Linked DNA regions of Diceros bicornis minor. The protein of the gene in region 1 interacts with the protein of each later gene in a pairwise test. Links are inferred from orthologs where the notes say so. Each region holds a gene or a part of one and is shown on either strand. Other genes may lie near its edges.

The links.
Region 2: the proteins of KLHL2 (region 1) and BCAM interact in binary tests that used the Homo sapiens proteins (3 or more experiments, as listed by UniProt). The two-hybrid records come from large-scale screens. The link is inferred for Diceros bicornis minor from reciprocal best matches to the Homo sapiens genes KLHL2 and BCAM.

What each region holds. Positions count from the first base shown.
Region 1 is NC_080750.1:52,255,250-52,264,086, reverse strand, and holds the start of KLHL2 (kelch-like protein 2), read right to left. Parts: upstream 3,315-8,837; 5' UTR 3,066-3,314; coding exon 3,040-3,065; intron 1-3,039. UniProt on the Homo sapiens protein: Substrate-specific adapter of a BCR (BTB-CUL3-RBX1) E3 ubiquitin ligase complex that mediates the ubiquitination of target proteins, such as NPTXR, WNK1, WNK3 and WNK4, leading most often to their proteasomal degradation.
Region 2 is NC_080773.1:19,161,908-19,170,966, forward strand, and holds the start of BCAM (basal cell adhesion molecule), read left to right. Parts: upstream 1-5,751; 5' UTR 5,752-5,970; coding exon 5,971-6,151; intron 6,152-6,502; coding exon 6,503-6,624; intron 6,625-7,222; coding exon 7,223-7,451; intron 7,452-7,535; coding exon 7,536-7,606; intron 7,607-8,054; coding exon 8,055-8,151; intron 8,152-8,234; coding exon 8,235-8,417; intron 8,418-8,920; coding exon 8,921-9,057; intron 9,058-9,059. UniProt on the Homo sapiens protein: Transmembrane glycoprotein that functions as both a receptor and an adhesion molecule playing a crucial role in cell adhesion, motility, migration and invasion.

The DNA.
Region 1 (8,837 bases):
GTGAAGGAAAAGCAAAAAATTAAGGCCTGTAGCGAGAAAGCCAACTCATGAAAGAGAAGCCAGTAAGAAAACAAGGGCCAAGAGAACTGTTGAGTGAGGGGTGGTGAAAGGGATGAACTTCATCCTATACCTCATAGGCTTCCCTCAACTTAATCATGATGAAAATCCTTTACATAAATAACTATAAAAGCTAGAATGTGTAAAACATTTCTGAGGTCAGGGCTGATCAATTTACATTTCCTTTTGCATATCTCAGTTTACTGCCTGAAATTCCTTTACTACTCGACATCTAATTCTTAGTTGTACACCTTTTAGGTTGGATCGGAGGCAAACGTCCCACGACATTTGTTACCCAGACCCTAAAATGCAACAGAATCTAAATGCCACATATAAGATGCAAAAAAAACAATAAGCAGAGCTATGATGCCCAATGACAATCAATATGAGAATTAAAAAGGATGAGGAGAACTTGGAGGCAAGGAGTGGAAAGAGCACAAGAGATCAAAACCTAATTTCAACGAGCCCATCCTGAAGGAACTAGGGAGCGGGGGCACAGTCGCCTCTATCCCTCCAAGACAATAAGCTAATAGGCTGAAGGGGAGCAAAGTGAGACTTGAAAACAAAGTAAAACGGGCTGTTAAAAAAGAAGCATACGCCAAGAGCACCACACACAGCGCCAGGCACAGACAGGCATTCAAATATTTGCAGAATTAATGAATTAATAAACAGACACTCGCACAAAGAGGATCTGAGTCCCTGCTTCCAATCACATCATCCAAGGCACTTTAAGGCCACATCAAACATTTTTCTTTGCCTTAAAGCTCAGGCTAAAAATCTAACCTTATGAAAAGCTGAGCCCTCCCAATAACTTCCACTGGCCTCTGTCCTCGCCCAGCTCTAGCCCAGTGAGGTCCAATGATGTTGCTTCCCAAAGACACTGCCTGCATTTCTCAAATCCGGCCCCCATGATTCAGGTGGAAGGAAAACACAAGTTCATGGGAGTGGAGGCAAACAGGCCGAGGGGTGGCAGGGAAAACTATTTCTGATCTACAGAAAGGTAAGTGACGCTCCAAAGAGCTCTGGAATAAGAGTTAATCCTAGACAGACCAAAGGAAAATAAAACTTATTTGTATTTATTATTAAATGAACAGAAACAATAAAAAGTCTCACCATCTTTAGCCACCCACAATTAAAAGAAGTTTTAACAATTCTTTTCTGCCTGCTGGCATTCCACGCTTTCCAGTACATCTCAGCCTGTCATTGTTTCAGCATTATTGATGGAGTATCAATACCAAAGAATTGTGCTAGACGCCAAAATCATGATTAGTTGATCTGTCCAAGATTCAGTTTATCAATATTTGCATGCACACATCTATTTCACTTTTAATTATTTCCATTTAAATCATTTTCTATGTCTCTACGCCCTCCCTCCAGAGCCTGCTTTCCCACACCTTTTTTTCACCTGCATTCTAAGATCCCCTTGTTCTTTGCTTTAGTTCCCTCTGCTCCCAAAGTAAAAAGAGACTGCAGAGAACTGATAACAAGGGGGCAGGTTTACCATAGATAACATGCCTACCTGGTATATTCTATACACTATGTGCTGTCTATATACAGGTAGCATTTCCTGTCTTCAGTGCCTCTGAGCCTGGACTGAACTCCTGTGCTGTGCTGTGCTCAGGCTGCTGATGCTAACAATCCACCATCACGTTTCCTAGGGGTTCAGGAGCCTTCCCGAACCTGCTGAAGAACCAGACCAGATCACAAAGCCCTCAAGGCCACAGCAATCACAAAGCAACTGAGCCCCTTGCTTCTACCAGCCCAGGACGATCAATTCAAGAGTCTTATCATCTACTCCTTAGAGCCCCATGACCTGTTCCACTCAAGCTAAAAATTCTGTAAGGCACTTTTGGAAAATGTAGTTCCCAGGATCCTATTAGCTCTCCTAAAAGGACCCAACATCAAAAAATTATTCCACCCAAGCCAAATATCCATATTTTGGCTGGAATCCCGCCAAACAACCACAAGAGGCTGGTGCAGTACAACTGCCATGGACTGAAGCTGGCCAAATCCAAGTGAAAAAGGATAAAGCTCCATGAATAAGCTCTCGCGAAAAGGTACACCACTCTTCAGAATGAGGTTTGTTCACGGTCTGAAAAGTCAGATGCAAAGGGCTCTCGTTCCTTCATAAAGGTTAAACTAAGAAAAGCCAATCAAAATTGAAATTGTCAAAACTCCTGGGGATTTATAGCCCACTTTTACCAAATACTAAAAAAAAATATATTGCACTGAATAATGTAAATTTTCAATATCTCCCACAAAATTCAGCTGTTATTATTTCTGGAGGGTAATTTTGTTGCAGGTGATCTTGAAGGTATGTGGGTACCAAGGAAAAGCCACCTGTGCCTGGCAAGTCGCTATACTCCTAATGTGCCCAGGGTACCAAGGAAACATAAGATGCTCTGATTTCTGGACACAATTTTCTGCAGTGCCAGGTAAAAGAGGTCACATGCCCTGAACAGCCGCGGCTCATTTAGAGTGATGTAAAAGCTTCGGATATTAATTTTGCTAGAAATTCGGAGAAGCAAGCAACGTAAAATCAATTCATATAGACACCGGGCGTCTAGTACTTTCCAGCTGCTTTTTTTTTCCAACAGACTCCCGTGCACCATATCTCCATCCCTTAGAAAGGGGTGGACAAGCTGGGCACCAGCAGCCCATGCATTTCAGAGGGGTACACACAGGACAGAGTGCCCAAGCACAGCCCATCCCGAAGCTTCTATTCGCCTGGGATGGGGCAGACCCTTCCTGGAAATCATGGGCAGCGTTTTAAGTCGCTGCCTGGCCAGGCTGAGTTTCCGTCCGCGTCCGCCTCAGGACTGCGGGAACCGCGCCTCGTCACGCCCCGCAGCTCCCACCTCCCGCCGCCCCCGGTGGCTCCGGGCGTCCTCCGCCGGCGGGCACCGGGCGGCCGTCCCCGAGCAGCGCCCACGGCCGGCGACAAGCGCCGCAGCGGCACAGCCCGCCCGGCCGCTCACTCACGCGGGAGGCAGCGGCGGCGTCTCCATTGTGGCTCCTCTCGGGCTTCAGAACGCAGGCACCGACCGCCGCCGCCAGCACCATTCCAGCCGCGGACGCCGGCACTGCCCGCCCGCCGAGCCGCGTTCCATCCGCCCCGGGGGGGGCGCCGCGCTCGCCTCACCGCGCGCCACCAGCCGCGGCGGCGGCCCCCGCGGCCATGGCCCGCTCGGCCGGGCGCGCTCCGTGTGCCTGCGCGGCTCCCGCGCTCGCCCGAGTGCGGGGCGGCGGCGGCGGCGGCAGCAGCGGCGGCGGGACGGACGGGCGCGCCGGCTCAGCCACTTCCGGGTTCGGCCCCGGCCGGCGCCGACGCCGTGACCGGACGGCGCTGCGGCCTCCCGCGGCGGCCCGGGACCCCTCCCTCGGCGCCTCCCTCTTTCTCTGCTGCCGCCGCTCAGGCTCAGGCTCAGGCTGCTGTTGCTGCTGGAGGCGGGCGGGCGCGTCCAGACGCGGGCGGCGCGGCGGGACGGGGGCGACGGCCGCCCGCGGCGGGGACTGTGGGTCACCCGGGCGGGGGAGCTAGAAAATGGGAAGGGGTGCTGTCTGTGCGGGAAGAGGGCGCCCGAAAGCACAGCAGTCGCGCTCGCGTTGACTTATTGCTCTGCTTCACAAGCGTGTTCACATTATTCTCTTAGATTTGAGCCTGTGCCCAGGGAGATGGGAAGGGTAGGCAGAACCAACCACTTCCTCTACAAATGGTGAAACTGAGGCAAGAAGAAATGAATTTGCCTGGCCCGTGTCCCAAGCAAGAACCTGGGCCTCCCTCCTCAGTATGTGATCCGTTTGTTGGACAAGTGAAGTGAGCACCTAGTAGGCAAGGTTTTGGTACTGGGTGGAGGATAGAGAGCAAAACCAGGTCTCTACTTGTGCAGCTGTCGATCTAGACGGGCTAAGAAACTATAAACGAACGATGCCTGCAATGAGGAAAATCAGGGTGAGGAGATGGGCTGCTATTTTAGGAATGGTCAGGGAAGGCCTCTCAAATGAAGTCATTTACACAGAGATGGCATAAAATGAATCTTGAGTAAAGCAGAGAGTTCTCAGGGCAAGGGAAGAGTAGTGCAGGGACGCTTATGCAAAATCTTGCCTGGCTTGTTGAGGAACAGGAAGGAGAACAGTGTAGCTGGTGGTTCTCCAAGTATGCCCACTGGACAGCAGTAGCATCTGGGACTTTGTTAGAAATGCAGATTCTCCAGGCCTGCTTCAAATCTAATGAATCAGAAACTCTGAGGGTGGGGCCCAGCAGTGTTGCTGTGACAAGCCCTCCAGATGATGCTAAGGTTGAGAACCTCTGGTGTAGCTGAAGCAGAGTGAGGAGAGGATATAGTGAGCTGAGATGGGGGGGAGTAGTGACATCACATAGGCCTTGTAGGTCATCATAAGGGATTTGGCTTTTGCTGAGAAGATAAGCAACTAGAAAGTCATGAGCAGCTTAATCAGATAATTAAAAGGAGGACTTGGCTGGGATTTGTTTTAAAATACTCCACCAGGCTCCAGCCCAGTGGCACAGCCGATAAGTTCTCGCTGTCAGCTTTGGTTGGGCGTTCGCGGTTTGGTTCCTGGGCGCGGACCTACTCACCACTCATGAAGCCGTGCTGAGGTGGTGTCCCACATAGAAGAACTAAAAGGACCTATAACTAGGATATACAACTATGTACTGGGGCTTTGGGGAGAAATAAGAAAAAGGGGAAGATTGGCAACAGATGTTAGCTCAGGGCCAGTCTTCCTCAAAAAGAAAAAAAGAATACTCCACCAAAAAAGAGAGGATGGGGAATAGAAGGAAGAAGATGGGCAAAATGTTAGTTTTTGATGCTGAGTGATGGGTACATGAAGGTGGTCATCATTTATGTGTATTTATGTGTAAGTTTTAAAAGGTTAAAAAAATTTTTTTTAAAAAAGATGACTGGTTGCTATAGGAACAATATATGAAGGGAAGCAGGAGAGCCAGCAAGGAGATTAGCCTAGCTGGGATGAAAAATAAGGATGGCCTGGACTAAAGTCAGAGTGATGGAGAGAAGTGGTCAGATTCTGATTCTATTTAGAAGATAAAGCACGCAGGAATTGCTGATAGATTAGATGTGAGTATAAGAGAAAGAGCCGAGTCAAAGATGACCCCAAGTGTTTTGGTCTAGGCTCTTGGGAGAGTGGAATTGCCATTTACTGAAATTGAGGGGATAGAAAAGAAACAGATCTGGCGGGGAGAGGGGAGTATTTGTAGTCTCTGATTTAGACGTGGTAAGATTGAGGCGTCTGTTAAATATCCACGTGAAAATAGGTGTAGACAACTAGATATATGTATCTGGGGTGAACATAGTGTGGAGGTTGTGAGCATATACATGGTATTTAAAATCATGGGACTGGTTGAGATCAACTAGATAATGTAGCTAGAGAAAAGAGGAGGACCAAGAAGTGAGCCCTGGGGCACTCCAACATTAAGCCGGTAAGATGAAGAGGATTCAGCAAAGGAGACAGAAGGAGCAGGAGAAGTGTCTTGGTAGCCTAGTGAAATGTTCCGGGAAAAGGCAATAACTTAGTATGCCTTAGCACGAGCTATCCTCTCTGTAACCTCATGGCGTTATTGATCCACCATGAGTAGGGCATATATGATGAGTTATTTCTCTAGTGTTATTGTTGGATTAGTTCAGATCCATAATAAAACTTCCTACTTTATATGAAGTTGTTATAAGACCTAGATGAAATAATCTATATGAAGCAAATAGCAGTAAGTGTATAATGGAAGCACTGAATAAATGTTAATTGCTATTATTATTTCTACACATTTCCATGACCATCAGTTATACCTAACTCAGCTAGGAGTTGAGGTTAAGTGCTGGACCCAAGAGATACACGCTAACTTAGGTTTGACCAAACCTTTGGCCTGACTTCCTTCTTCTGCATGCAAGTTGAGTGAGCAGGGCTGTTTGATTAGCCATTTTAGGAGTTCTTTTGGAAAAAAGCAAAAAACCCTTCTATTGCTTTTGTAACTTAGTGTTACATGTACAAGTACAGAAAGTAAAATAGTGTTATCTATACAAGTAAATACTAAAATGTGAGGATGTATCAATCTGACAAATGGACACACAACTCCAAACCATAGCCCGTTTCACATCTTCCTCTAGATTCGTTTTATCTGTTACAGTTCTCTGCTTCTTAAGGGATCCTGGTTATCTAGCATGCTAAATGTCTAACCAAACCTTTTCTTTTCCACACCCATCCCTAAATTTGTAGGCTTTACAAGTGGACTGTAGAAAAGAGGCCGTAGAAAAAAAAAGAGTATTTTTTTACCCACAGCTTGCTAAGAATTCAGTGTCAGCCCACAGCTCTAGTATCCTAGTGTGGTGGCCACCAGGTAGATTTGAAGACAGTCTATGTTCCTAATCCAAGTCTCTGTCTTGGACCCCATTCCCTGCAGAGAAGAGGAAGAGCTGAACCCACGACTCAGACCCTGGAATTTCGATTAGGCTCAGATTTAATCAAGCATCTCATCTAAGAATCTTGAAGCAATTTGAAAATATTAGTTAATCAGCACTGAACCTTTGTTGTTTTCTAAAGAGACAATGATGGGACCCTTGGCTTTCAGACATTAGCGGACCTGCCTAAGATCGGTAGCAATTTAAGAGGCCAAAGTTTCCATTTTCATCTTTGTGTGGGCCAAGGAACCTCACAGAACTGGTCCTCGGCCAGATGCAGTCTCAACGCTTAACTCTGTCTCACTATTCACAAGAAAAGTAAACAAAAATGTTTGATGGACACAAATCCATCACTACTATGGGGAAAAAACTTTTAATATGTCTTCCTTTGTTTGCCAGTTTCACCATTTTCTTAAGTAAAGTTCACAAAGGATTAGGAGTACCTACCCAAGATCACCAAGGACTTCTCGTTTCCATTTCCCTTGGCATAAGAACTGACCGGGTATGCAGAGGTGTTTGACCTCTCCTTGCTTAGGTTACTAGCTCCACCCATCTATTGATTATTCTGTGGATGAATTCTTCACTCCCCACAGAGAGGTGAGATCTTACAAAAGTCCATGCATTTGTTACACTGTTGAAATAGAACAATTCCTTAACTGTATTAGTAACCATAACCTAAAGCTAATGTAAGTGATCAGAATACATCAATTGTAATGAAGATGGAAACGTGCAGAGGAATAAGTCCACGACAGTCACTGGTGGCAAAAATTACTTCGATTGAGTTGAAATCAGATGTTGCAGTAGAACTAATGACATGACATGGCAGGCACAAACACATCACATGGCGAGAATCTGGGAACTGAGAATTGCTCTTGTAAAGAAAAGACTTAATTTCACCAAAGAGTATAAAACTATAAGATCCTGTTTTTGTAATTCCTTCCAGTGTAAAGAGAACAAGTGTAAAAAGTGTCCCTCATTCAAAAATAGGATGCTAAAGAAGATGAACTTCTAAAAAGTCTTATTTTCTGTCTCAAAGAGTTAGTCTAAAATACATTACTTGACTTGTTTTTCTAATTTTAAATTAGAGTTTTTGCTTTTATTCTTTTGATTTGGAAGCAGCTTAGGGTATGTAATATATTATGAAACATTTCAAAGTATTCTTGTGAGACTTTGCTGTTTAGCAAATGGATTTGTCAATACATGAAGGTATTTATTACAGGCTTTGTGGTGTTAAATGGGGTGATGTGAGCCTTCTGCTCGAGACCAACAGAAAATCTTTAATTGAAGGAGTCTTTCATTTCTGAGTCCAGTTTACTCTACAAATGCTTGCTTCCTTGTTTTCATAGTCTTTAAGGTACCAACCTTACTTCCAACACAGCACACCTGCCCGTTATCCTGTATTGGAGGTTCCTGGAGAAATTAAAGCAAATTGTTTGCTGCAAAGTCTAATTGGAAATCTGTTGCAATAGGTACAGGAAGTATCCAAAAATAGGCTTCACGCTAATGTATATCAGGTAAGCAGTTTCTCTGTGCTTTTTTAAGAAAAGGAAATTTATTTTTACTTGCATATAGTTATATGGTATCTATTTATGTAGTCTGGTGATGTAATACCTCATTGTAGAATTATCTAGGACTAAACATCTTTCTACAGAGTCAGCAATGCTGGGGAGAGGAAAAAGGAATTAAAAATTCTTGATAAATTATGCAAAGCATTACTAGCTTGTTGTCATTCATCTCAAGTTATACACATGCACACACAAACTCCTATCCACAGCTCCTGATGGTCCATCACAGCTAACTGTTAATAGCACGGACCCTAGGTGAAATTGTGAAATAAGTTTGGTTTTGGCATTCTCATTTTCCTCATTCTGTTCCCTTTTTTCCTTTTGGCATCAATACATCTACTACCTCTGACCCTAACCCCCTGCACGTATCTGGTGTCCTCTCCATCCCTAATCCAACTTAGAAATTGTCTGTTATCAGTTAACAGAATGATTAGTAGATTACATTTCAATATAATGGCTTTAATAGAGTAGAGTAACTTCATATTAGTACTATTTTAGCCAAATAATAAATTCATGCTCTATCCTCTAGTCTCCTTCCTCCTAGAATGCATTCCAGTGCCTTCTGTATTATTTTAATCACCACATTTTTGACGACAAAGTGTGACATTGAAGTGTGTCTTTTTCATTAATAGAGGTATTACTGTATAATACTGGGAAAGAAATGCTTGAATAAAGGACAATGCTGAGCGAGGAGATGAAAAATATTCTTCTTAAACTCTAGACCTTTTGAGACCAAACCTCTGGGAGTTTGTATTACTTGTTCAAGTTATTCACATGGTAATGTGAA
Region 2 (9,059 bases), on another chromosome or scaffold:
GTCAGAGAGCCAAGAGTGGGGACCCAGCTCCTTCGGATCCAGAGTCCAGGCCCCCAGACGCCTCCTCTCTCAGATCCAAAAGTCCCACCTTCTGGGCTTAGGAGTCCAGAGTCCCAAGCTCTCAGAGAATCAGGCATCCAACAACCTCTCCCCATCATGGCAAAAATATTCTTGGACTCAGACCCAGGTATCCAAGTTCTAAGTCCCCCGGTCAAAGAGTCCCCACATTTCCTTGAGGGTTAGGTGCCCAGTCTTGCCATACTCTGCTCTCGTCCCTCTCTCTCTCCTCCATTCCTCTCTGGGATCTTCTCCCAGAGTGATGGTGACTTCCAGTCAAAATCAAGCGAGAAAGTGTCTCCCCACCTCCTCGCTAATCCCAGAGGGACCCAAGCCTCCCTCCACTTGATTTAAACCAGTTGGCATCCCTTAGGCCCCCTGTGCCCTGGGCTGGGCAACGCTAGGCATTTGGTAGTGATCACTGCCCTCGTGGGGCTCACAGTCCAGTGCAGGAGACAGACCTGTCCCCAGACAGTGACAATCCAGAGTGGGCAGAGCTGGGATGGGGGACCCCAGGGGGCTGCTGGAGCGCAGAGCGGGCAGTTGACCCAGGCTGAGAGGTCAGGGAGGGCTTCCCGGAGGAGGGGATGTGCAGGCTGAGACTGAAGAGGTAAGGAAAGGTAAATGGAGCATGGAAGCATGCATCACAGATTTAGTTCCAAGCAACAGAAGCCGCCCCTGGGGCAAAAAGGAAATTGATTGAGAAGGTTTGGGATCGCTCATAAAATCCCAGGAGTGATTAGAGAACCAGGATTGGAAAGTGATCAAGAGCGCTGGCAGCCAGCCTCCAACCACAGCCCAGCCACGATCACGCCACAGAACCGGTCTGATGAGGATACGCTGGTGCTCCGATGACCACTGGACACTCGTTGTCTTGCTGCCTCGGCTACCCCAGAAACAGGCTGTGTCTGCTAGCTGTTGCTCCAACAAATCCCACCAAGACTTATTGGGGAACAACAGCAATCATGTTAATATCCCTCGTGGTTGCTGGGGGCCAGGATTTGGGGAAGGGCTCAGTTGGGTGGTTCTGGCTCAGGGTGCAATCAAATAGTGTGATCAAGTGGTCCTTGGAGCTGGGCAGCTGGGGGCAGGACAGGTGTCCCTCTGCAGACCTCTCCGTAGGGTCTCCACACTTGCTGATTTGGGCTTCCCCACAGTGTGGCTGCCTCAAGGTAGTCAGACTGCTTAGATGGTGGCTGAAGTCTTTTTGGAGAGAATTCCCATGACCTAGACAGAAGCTACATGGATTTTTCTACCTAATCTGGGGAGTCATGCAGTGTCACTTCTGCCACGTTGGTTACATGCGAGTCACAAAACCGCACAGATTTAAGAGGAGGAGACATAGACCCCACCTCTTGGGGGAAAGAGTGTCACGATCAGATTGCAGAAGAGCCTGTGGAATGAGAGATCTTGTAGCTGTCATCTTGGGAAAATAGAATGCATCCCGGCTGCTATAGTGGGAACAGATTAGCCAGTTCTTGCTTCTTTGGGATTATTAGCTCCCAGTTCCAAAGTATAGCAGAATTGGCCAAGCGTAGGTCACCTTAGCTCCAACAGAGGCAGGAAAGCAAACATCTGTCCTTGTTGGCTTCAACAGAGGGCAGCAGGCTTTCAGACACCAGGGATGTTTCTAAATGTGGGAAAGGCGCGTGGATGCTACCTTACCCTCCCCCGCAAAAAAGGCTGCTCCGGTCCTCCCCTTTGAATGCTCAACATCAGTACATATCTTTGTCCTATACTACATTCTTTTCCCCCAAAAGTTCTTATCTAAACTCTCCCTGCACAACTAACTGGTAAACCAAAAATGCATTCACACCGCCCCCCAAGACAACACAAAGTCTCAACGGTTACATTTTCCAGATGTAAGTCTGGAACCATTGGGAAATAGCCAGTCCCCTCGAGATGTGTCGCGAGCCCCATATCCCACACGCTGTGAACTAGCTTTAAAGTGAACCGTCACACGCTGTATGTAAAACAATGGGATGCAGGTGGGGAAAGAGGAGGCTTGTTAATGGAAACGTACAAGGATATACACAGGAGACAGCAAGGATGGAATTGGAGAGTTCATTCATTTCCTTTTTACTCAGCTCCTCCTATGCCAAGCACTGTTCTAGGCACTGGAGATACAGTGAACAAAACCACAGAGCTTAGCTTCTGTGCCAGACAAACAATAAAAAATAGATCTGTGGCAGTGGTAAGTGCTGCAGAGGAAAAACGTAGTAAGATAAGGGAAATGAGGCGTGGCTGGGATGGTCAAAGAAAGCTCTGATGATGTGATGTTGGGGTAGAGATTTGAAGCAAGGGAGGGAGGGAGATTCCCAGCAGAGAGGAGAGGAAGCGCAAAGGCCTGGAGGCTGGAACAGGCCTGGCATTGGAGGAACAGCATGGAAGCAAAGAGACCAATGTGGCAAGAGTAGAGCTATCGAAGGGGAAGAGAGGAAGATGGGGTCAGGGCGGTGACGAGGACCACATGGAGGACCTTGTGAGCCGTGAAGAGGATTTCGCTTTTACTCTGAGTGAGAGGAGCCGTGGGAGGATTCTGAGCAGAAGAGTAACGTGAGTTGAGTCACATTTGAACAGGATCCCTCTGCCTGTTTCCTAGGAATAAACTGCAGGGGACAAGGGCAGAGGATGTTACGGGACTAGTTTCTGCAGGTCTGTGAGGGACCGTGGCTGATATCTATGACTTCCCTCCTTCACCCACAATCCGTATGGTCCTCTCCCAACTAGAACCTCAGCTGGTTGGGTTCTTGAGGAAGGTGGAAGACGGGTGGCTGAGAAGAGGGCACCTGCCAGGGTCCGGCCCCATCAGTAGGCACGGAAGAGCTGGGGGGTGGGTGTCTGGGGTCGCAGTGTGGCGGCTTGTCCCAGGGAGCGTGTGGGGCTGTGTAGGAGTGCGACTGCCGTTGTCCCAGAGTGAGCTGGGATCGTGTGTCCTGTGACAGGGGGAGGGAGATCTGTTCCCAGTTAGAGATGACCCAGAGTCATCTCTGGGTTGGGCTGGGGTGGTGGAGCCCAGAGGGGTGCCTGGCCCAGCCTAGGGAAGCAGGGAGGGTGTCCTGGAAGAGGGGATGGTGCGGCTAATACTCAAAGATCACCTCCCCCAGTGTAATAGTTGCTCTCCTGTATCACCGATGGATAAATTGATTTGACAAGTCTGACCAATAACTTCCAGGCTGACCTATAATCTAAACCTTCCCTCTGTGTCTGATGGGCAAGGCCCAGTCTTACCAGTGACCCCCAAGTCTGATCAGAGGCCTGGGGAACCTCTCCCAGCAGGATCAGCTACCCCTCATTCTGACCAGTGTCCAGGGCTAGCTTCTCTCCGGTAACCAGTGACATCTCCCTCCCCCAGCAAGCCCCTGGCCGGCAGTCTGGGGATTTTGTCCTAGTCAGACCCGGCTTGTGAGAAGCCTCAGGCAGTCTGACCTCTGACTCCCAGTCTGACCTGTGACCTTTTCTTCTGACCCATGGCCAAGCCCCTCCCCGTCCTCTCAGGTACCCAGGCCTTCTCCCCTCCCCCACTCACCTGCTTCTGCCAGCCGGATTTTCCTCCCCTCCCCCCAAAGTTGGGAGGGAGCGAAGGGGGGAGGGAAAGAGGAAGGGGGTGGCATTCCTGGGATTCTCTGGTTGAGGAGAAGAGAGGGAGGGCCCTACAGAGCAGAGCCAAGGAAAGAGCACCCCGCAGCCCCCCCATCATCACAAAGGCCTGGGCAGAGCTGGGGTTTGAAGACTATTAGATATAAGAGATTGAACTGGTGGGTTCCAGGCTACTGTTCAGACAGGAAAGGAGCCCAGAGCACTGGCCATAGGGGAGGGCCTCACAGGGCAAACTGGGAGAAGCTATTCTAGAGCACTGGGCAGGCTCACAGTTACTGGGTGGACTGGGAAAGCCCAACCCAAGCCACTGATTAGACTGGGGTTCACTGGTTATTCTGCAGGAGGCTCATTCACGCCACTGATCAGGCTGGGGGCCACTGGTTGTCCTGGGAGAGGCCAGTGCAGGTCACTGGTTAGACAGGGTTCAGCTGGGTAAAATCAACGAGGCAAGGGCAAGCCACTGGCCATAGTGTGAAGGAGTCTCCAAGGCCCCTGGTCAGAATGAGGGGGAGAAGGTCTCAGCTCGGGACACTGGCCGGACTGGTTGGTCAGGCCACTCGCCGCGGGCGCTGGTCAGCCTGAGCTGCCAGTCCAGGGCTCGAGGGCAGAGGCAGCCCGCTCCAGGCGGAGCGCTGGGAGGTCGGCTCCGGGCAGTGGGAGGTCCTGGCCGGGCGCCCGGGTTTGGGGTGACGAGGGGGGCCGGGCGGGCGCGGCGGGGCGGGGCTGCCGGGGGCGGGGCCTCCTCTCTCCCCGCCCGGGGCCGCCGGGGCCGCCGAGCCGCAGCCCGGGCTGAGTCGCCGCCGCCGCCGCCGCCGCCACCGCCGGGAACATGGAGCCCCCGGACGCGCGGGTCGGGGCGCGCGGGGCCCCGCGGCTGCTGGCGCTCGTGCTCTTGCTGGGGGCGCACGCAGGTACGGCTCGGCGGAGAGCGGGGCGCGACTGGGGGCGGGCCCTGGGGACCCCGAGAAGGGAAGGGGGAGGGGGCTCTCACCGCCCCCAGGAAGCCAATCCTGGGGAGCCCAGGGAGGAGGGATATGGGAACGTCCGGGGCACCCCTCCCCGTGAGAGACCTGTGGACAGCCAGGCAGAGTTGCTGGGGATACCACAGCAGTGGATTAGAGACCACCTGAGAAGTCAGAGCCCGCTCCCCACTCGGGACCCAGGAGTGCGAGCCCCAGCCCCTCCTCCCTCAGACCCCAGAATCCAGGCCCCCAGCCCCTCCTCCCTCAGACCCAGGGGTCCAGGCCTCCAGGGACTGGAGTGGCTTCCCCAGGACACAGGAGACCGAAACCTCAGGGCTCCCCCCATGGAAGATTCTCAAGTTTTGAGAGGATCAGGGACCCTCAGGCCAGAAGCCAGAGCGTCCCCTGCATTTGAGGGTTTACCCCATCTAGATGCAGAGCCCAGACTCTGAGGAACCTGCCTCCCTCAGGAAAGGGCTGGAGCGCTGGCCCTGGGCAGTGGCAGTGGAACAAAGTGTTTCCGAGTGACAGTGCGCCCTTCCTGGGGCCCCAGATAAACCCACACACCTGCGAGGTGCTGGGAGGGGAGGAGCCCTGAGGGGCTGGCAGCAGGGGGCCGGAGAGATGAGAGAGACTGGGGAAGAGAGGGGAGATCTCTCTGTGTGTCTTTGCTGCCTGCTGCTCAGACTCAGCCCCAGGCACCAGCCTGGCCCCACGCCCCCTCCCCTGGGACAAGCCTGGGCCAGAGGTGGGTGCCTGGGAATCCAGGCCCCTGGTACAAGCATGGCAAATAGTGGCTCCCCAGGGGAAGGGCTGGGCCAGGCTGGGCGGGGAAGGGAAGGGAGCTTCTGAGAACTGAGAGCTGATGCCCAGAGGGTGAGAGAGCGTGGTTTCTCCATGAGAACAGCTCTATCTGCCAGGATCCTGGGACCGAGTCAGGCCCAGCCGCCAATTCCCCCAGGACCCAGGAGCCTAGGCTTCCAGCTCCCTTCTCCTTCAGGACACAGTATCTGGGGCCTCCACCCTATCCTGTTCTGGGGTGACGCACCTTACCCCCTTCCCTCCTCTATCAAAGAGGCAGAAGGGCCAACGGGCGGGTAGGGGGCTCTGGCGCCAGGTCGGGCAGGTCTGAGCCAGCCTGTCCCTCCCACATTCCTGAAACCTGCCCAGCCCTGTCCCCCCTCGCCACCCCCACACACTCATCCCACCTCAGCTCCAGGCCCAGCCGCAGCCCACACCCCAGCCCAGCCCCTAACTCATGAGGGGGAGACCCAGGGGCCCAGAGAGATGGAGACTGAGAGTGATGGGCTGAGAGAGACACAGAGAGAGGCAGAGAGTGTGGGACTAAGAGATGGAGACCCACACGCAGGGTGAGAGACACGCACGCAGAGATGGCACCCAGGATGGACGAGAGAGACATTTATCCTACGTCACCCTGCCAGGCCCTGCCCAGGGTGCTGGAGGCAAACGGATGAGCCGGCCCTGGCCCTGCCCTGGAAGGGTGTTTGGTCTACTGGGGAAAGCAAGGACAGGTGCAATTTTACCCCAGGAGGATTGAATGGAGGCCACCAGGCCCTGTGTGGCCCAAGGGAGGAGCCCTTAGTTCTGCAAGTGAAGGGAGCTATGGAGAGAACTGCTGATGGGAGCTGAAGCCAGAGATGCAGAGATGAGAGATGGAGGGAGACAGGAGCTGAGCCTGAGGGAGGAGGGGCTGGGCGCCCGGACCCCCGGGTCTGAGGGAGGAGGAGGCTGGGGGCCCGGACCCCCGGGTCTGAGGGAGGAGGAGGCTGGGGGCCCCGACCCCCGGGTCCTGGGGAAGGCGGGGCTCTATCTGGAGGGCTGTCCCTATTGGTGGCAGTGAGAGCTCAGTTGCCCTCCCGCAGGTGTGGAGGCTGAGGTGCATGGGTCTGTGCCCTCCCTGGTGGAGGTAATGCGAGGGAAGTCAGCCACCCTGAACTGCACCGCGTTGGGGACGCACGACCATTTCGCGCTGGAATGGTTTCTGGTGAGTGCTGTGGGCTGGGGCCGGGGGTGGTGGAAGGGGCCCTGGGAGCAGGGTGCAGCGGGGCCACAAACATCTATTCCCTCGTCAGAGCCTGAAGGACCCTAAGAGCTCTGCAATCTGCCTTTCCATTTGACAGATGGGGAAACTGAGGCCCAGCAAAGGGAAGGGACTCTCCAGGGTCCCCTGGTGTCCGGGCACAGCTGAGACTAGAATGAAGAATTCCCTCTTCAGAGGGCTGGCTCTTCAGAGAGAACATTCAGAGACAGACACCAAGAAAGCAAGAGACCCAGGGGTCGGGACTAAAGAGAGAGACAGAGAAGAAGAGAAAATAAGAGGCAGAGAGAGACAGGGTGGGAGAGGGAGGCGGAGAGAGAGGAAGAGAGTTGGGGACAGAGTGAGATGGAGAGAGAGGGAGATGACAACAGATAGGGCACAGGGACAGGAGGGTGTGGAGAGGGGGACAGAGGGACCAGAGACAGGTAACAAGAGGAAAAGAGACAGACCCACAGAGCAGCAGAAAGAAAGGGGCATGAGAGAGACAGAGACACGGAGGAGGGTGGGCTGGGCAGCTCCGAGCTGAGGCCCTCCCCGCCGGCAGGCCGACCGCTCCGGGGCCCGCCACCGCCTGGCCTCGGCCGAGCTGCAGGGCTCTGAGCTCCAGGTCAGGATGCACGACTCCCGGGGCCGCAGCCCCCCGTACCAGCTGGACTCCCAGGGGCGCCTGGTGCTGGCCGACGCCCAGGTGGGCGACGAGCGGGACTATGTGTGCGTGGTGCAGGCGGGGGCAGCGGACACCGCCGAGGCCACCACCCAGCTCCGAGTGTTCGGTGAGTGTCCAAGGGCACCCCTGGAAGGGGCGGACAGGAGACAGCCTGGGGAAGGGGCTCCTGACTGTAACGTCTCCCCCACAGCAAAACCAGAGGCCACCGAGGTCTCCCCCAACAAAGGGATTCTATCTGTGATGGATGACTCTGCCCAGGAGGTACCTTGGGATGGGCCTTGATTCCAGGGTGCTGGGGAAGGTGGGAGCTGGGGGGCCCATAAGCCTGGATCCTAAGGTTGGAGGGGCCTGGACTCCTGCATCCTGGGGAGGAGGGGGCTGCGGGGCCCAGGATCCTGGATCCTAAGGTTGGAGGGGGCTGGGGGCCTGGACTCCTCCATCCTGGGGGAGGAGAGGCCTAGGGGACCTAGAATCCGGGAGCCTAAGGTTGGAGGGGCCTAGACTCCTGCATCCTGGGGAGGAGGGGGCTGGGGGCCTGGGTTTCTCAGTCTGAGGAGGGGCCCGGAGGTGTGGACTTCTGGGTCCTTGGGGAGCAGAGGGCTGGGAGCCCAGACTCCTGTATCTGAGTGGGGAGAACTTCTGAGGGAGGCAGGGACCCAGATTTCGGAGTCCTGGCTCAGAGCCCAGGGCCACGCCCGTTTCACCTCAGATCGCCACCTGCAACAGCCCCAACGGGAACCCGGCCCCCCAGATCACGTGGTATCGGAATGGGCAGCTCCTGGAGGTGCCCCTGGAGGTGAACTCAGGTGAGCGGCGCAGGAGCCTGGCCAGACGGGGGGCGGGGTGGGCTGGTGGCCCGGCCACTGACGGCCTCCTCCGTCTCCCCCAGAGGGCTACATGACCACCCGTACCGTGCGGGAGGCCTCGGGCCTGCTGTCCCTCACCAGCACCCTCTACCTGCGGCTCCGCAAGGCCGACCGGGACGCCAGCTTCCACTGCTCCGTGCGCCACCGCCTGCCCGCCGGCCGGCAGGGCCGCCTGGACAGCCCTGTCTTCCGCCTCACCCTGCACTGTGAGTCCCCGCCGGCCCTGACCTCCCGCCCCCCACTCCACGCCTCCCTGAGGCCCGGCCCTCCCCTCTGGCCCTCACGCTGAAATGTGTCTGACCTCTGACCTCTGACCTCAAATAGTAGCACAAGCCCCATCCTATGTCTGACCCCCGTAGCACCCTGAACCCCATGGAGTTTCATGACTAAACGTCATGAAACATCCCACCCTCTCACACTGAATTGGGTCCCCAAATCTCACACTGGCCTGTCATCCACACTGATTTCTGACCCTTGACCTGTACTCTCAGCTTATCTCAATCCTGCCCTCTGGTCCCTGATCTCAGAATAAGAGTGAACCTGAACCTTGAAAGATGTGACCTCTCCCCTTTGACCGACCGTGGTCCTCCCCTTTGCTGGTGGCGCTGGCCTCTCTCCCTTAATCCGGCCCCGCCTTTTACCCTTGACCTGACCTACCCTGGACCCTGATGGTGAGTCTGCCCTGACCCGCTCCCGCCCTTTCTCTTAGATCCCACGGAGCACGTGCAGTTCTGGGTGGGCAGCCCAGCCACCACGGAGGGCTGGGTCCGCGAGGGTGACTCTGTCCAGCTGTTCTGCCGGGGGGACGGCAGCCCCAGCCCGGAGTACACCTTCTTCCGCCTCCAGGT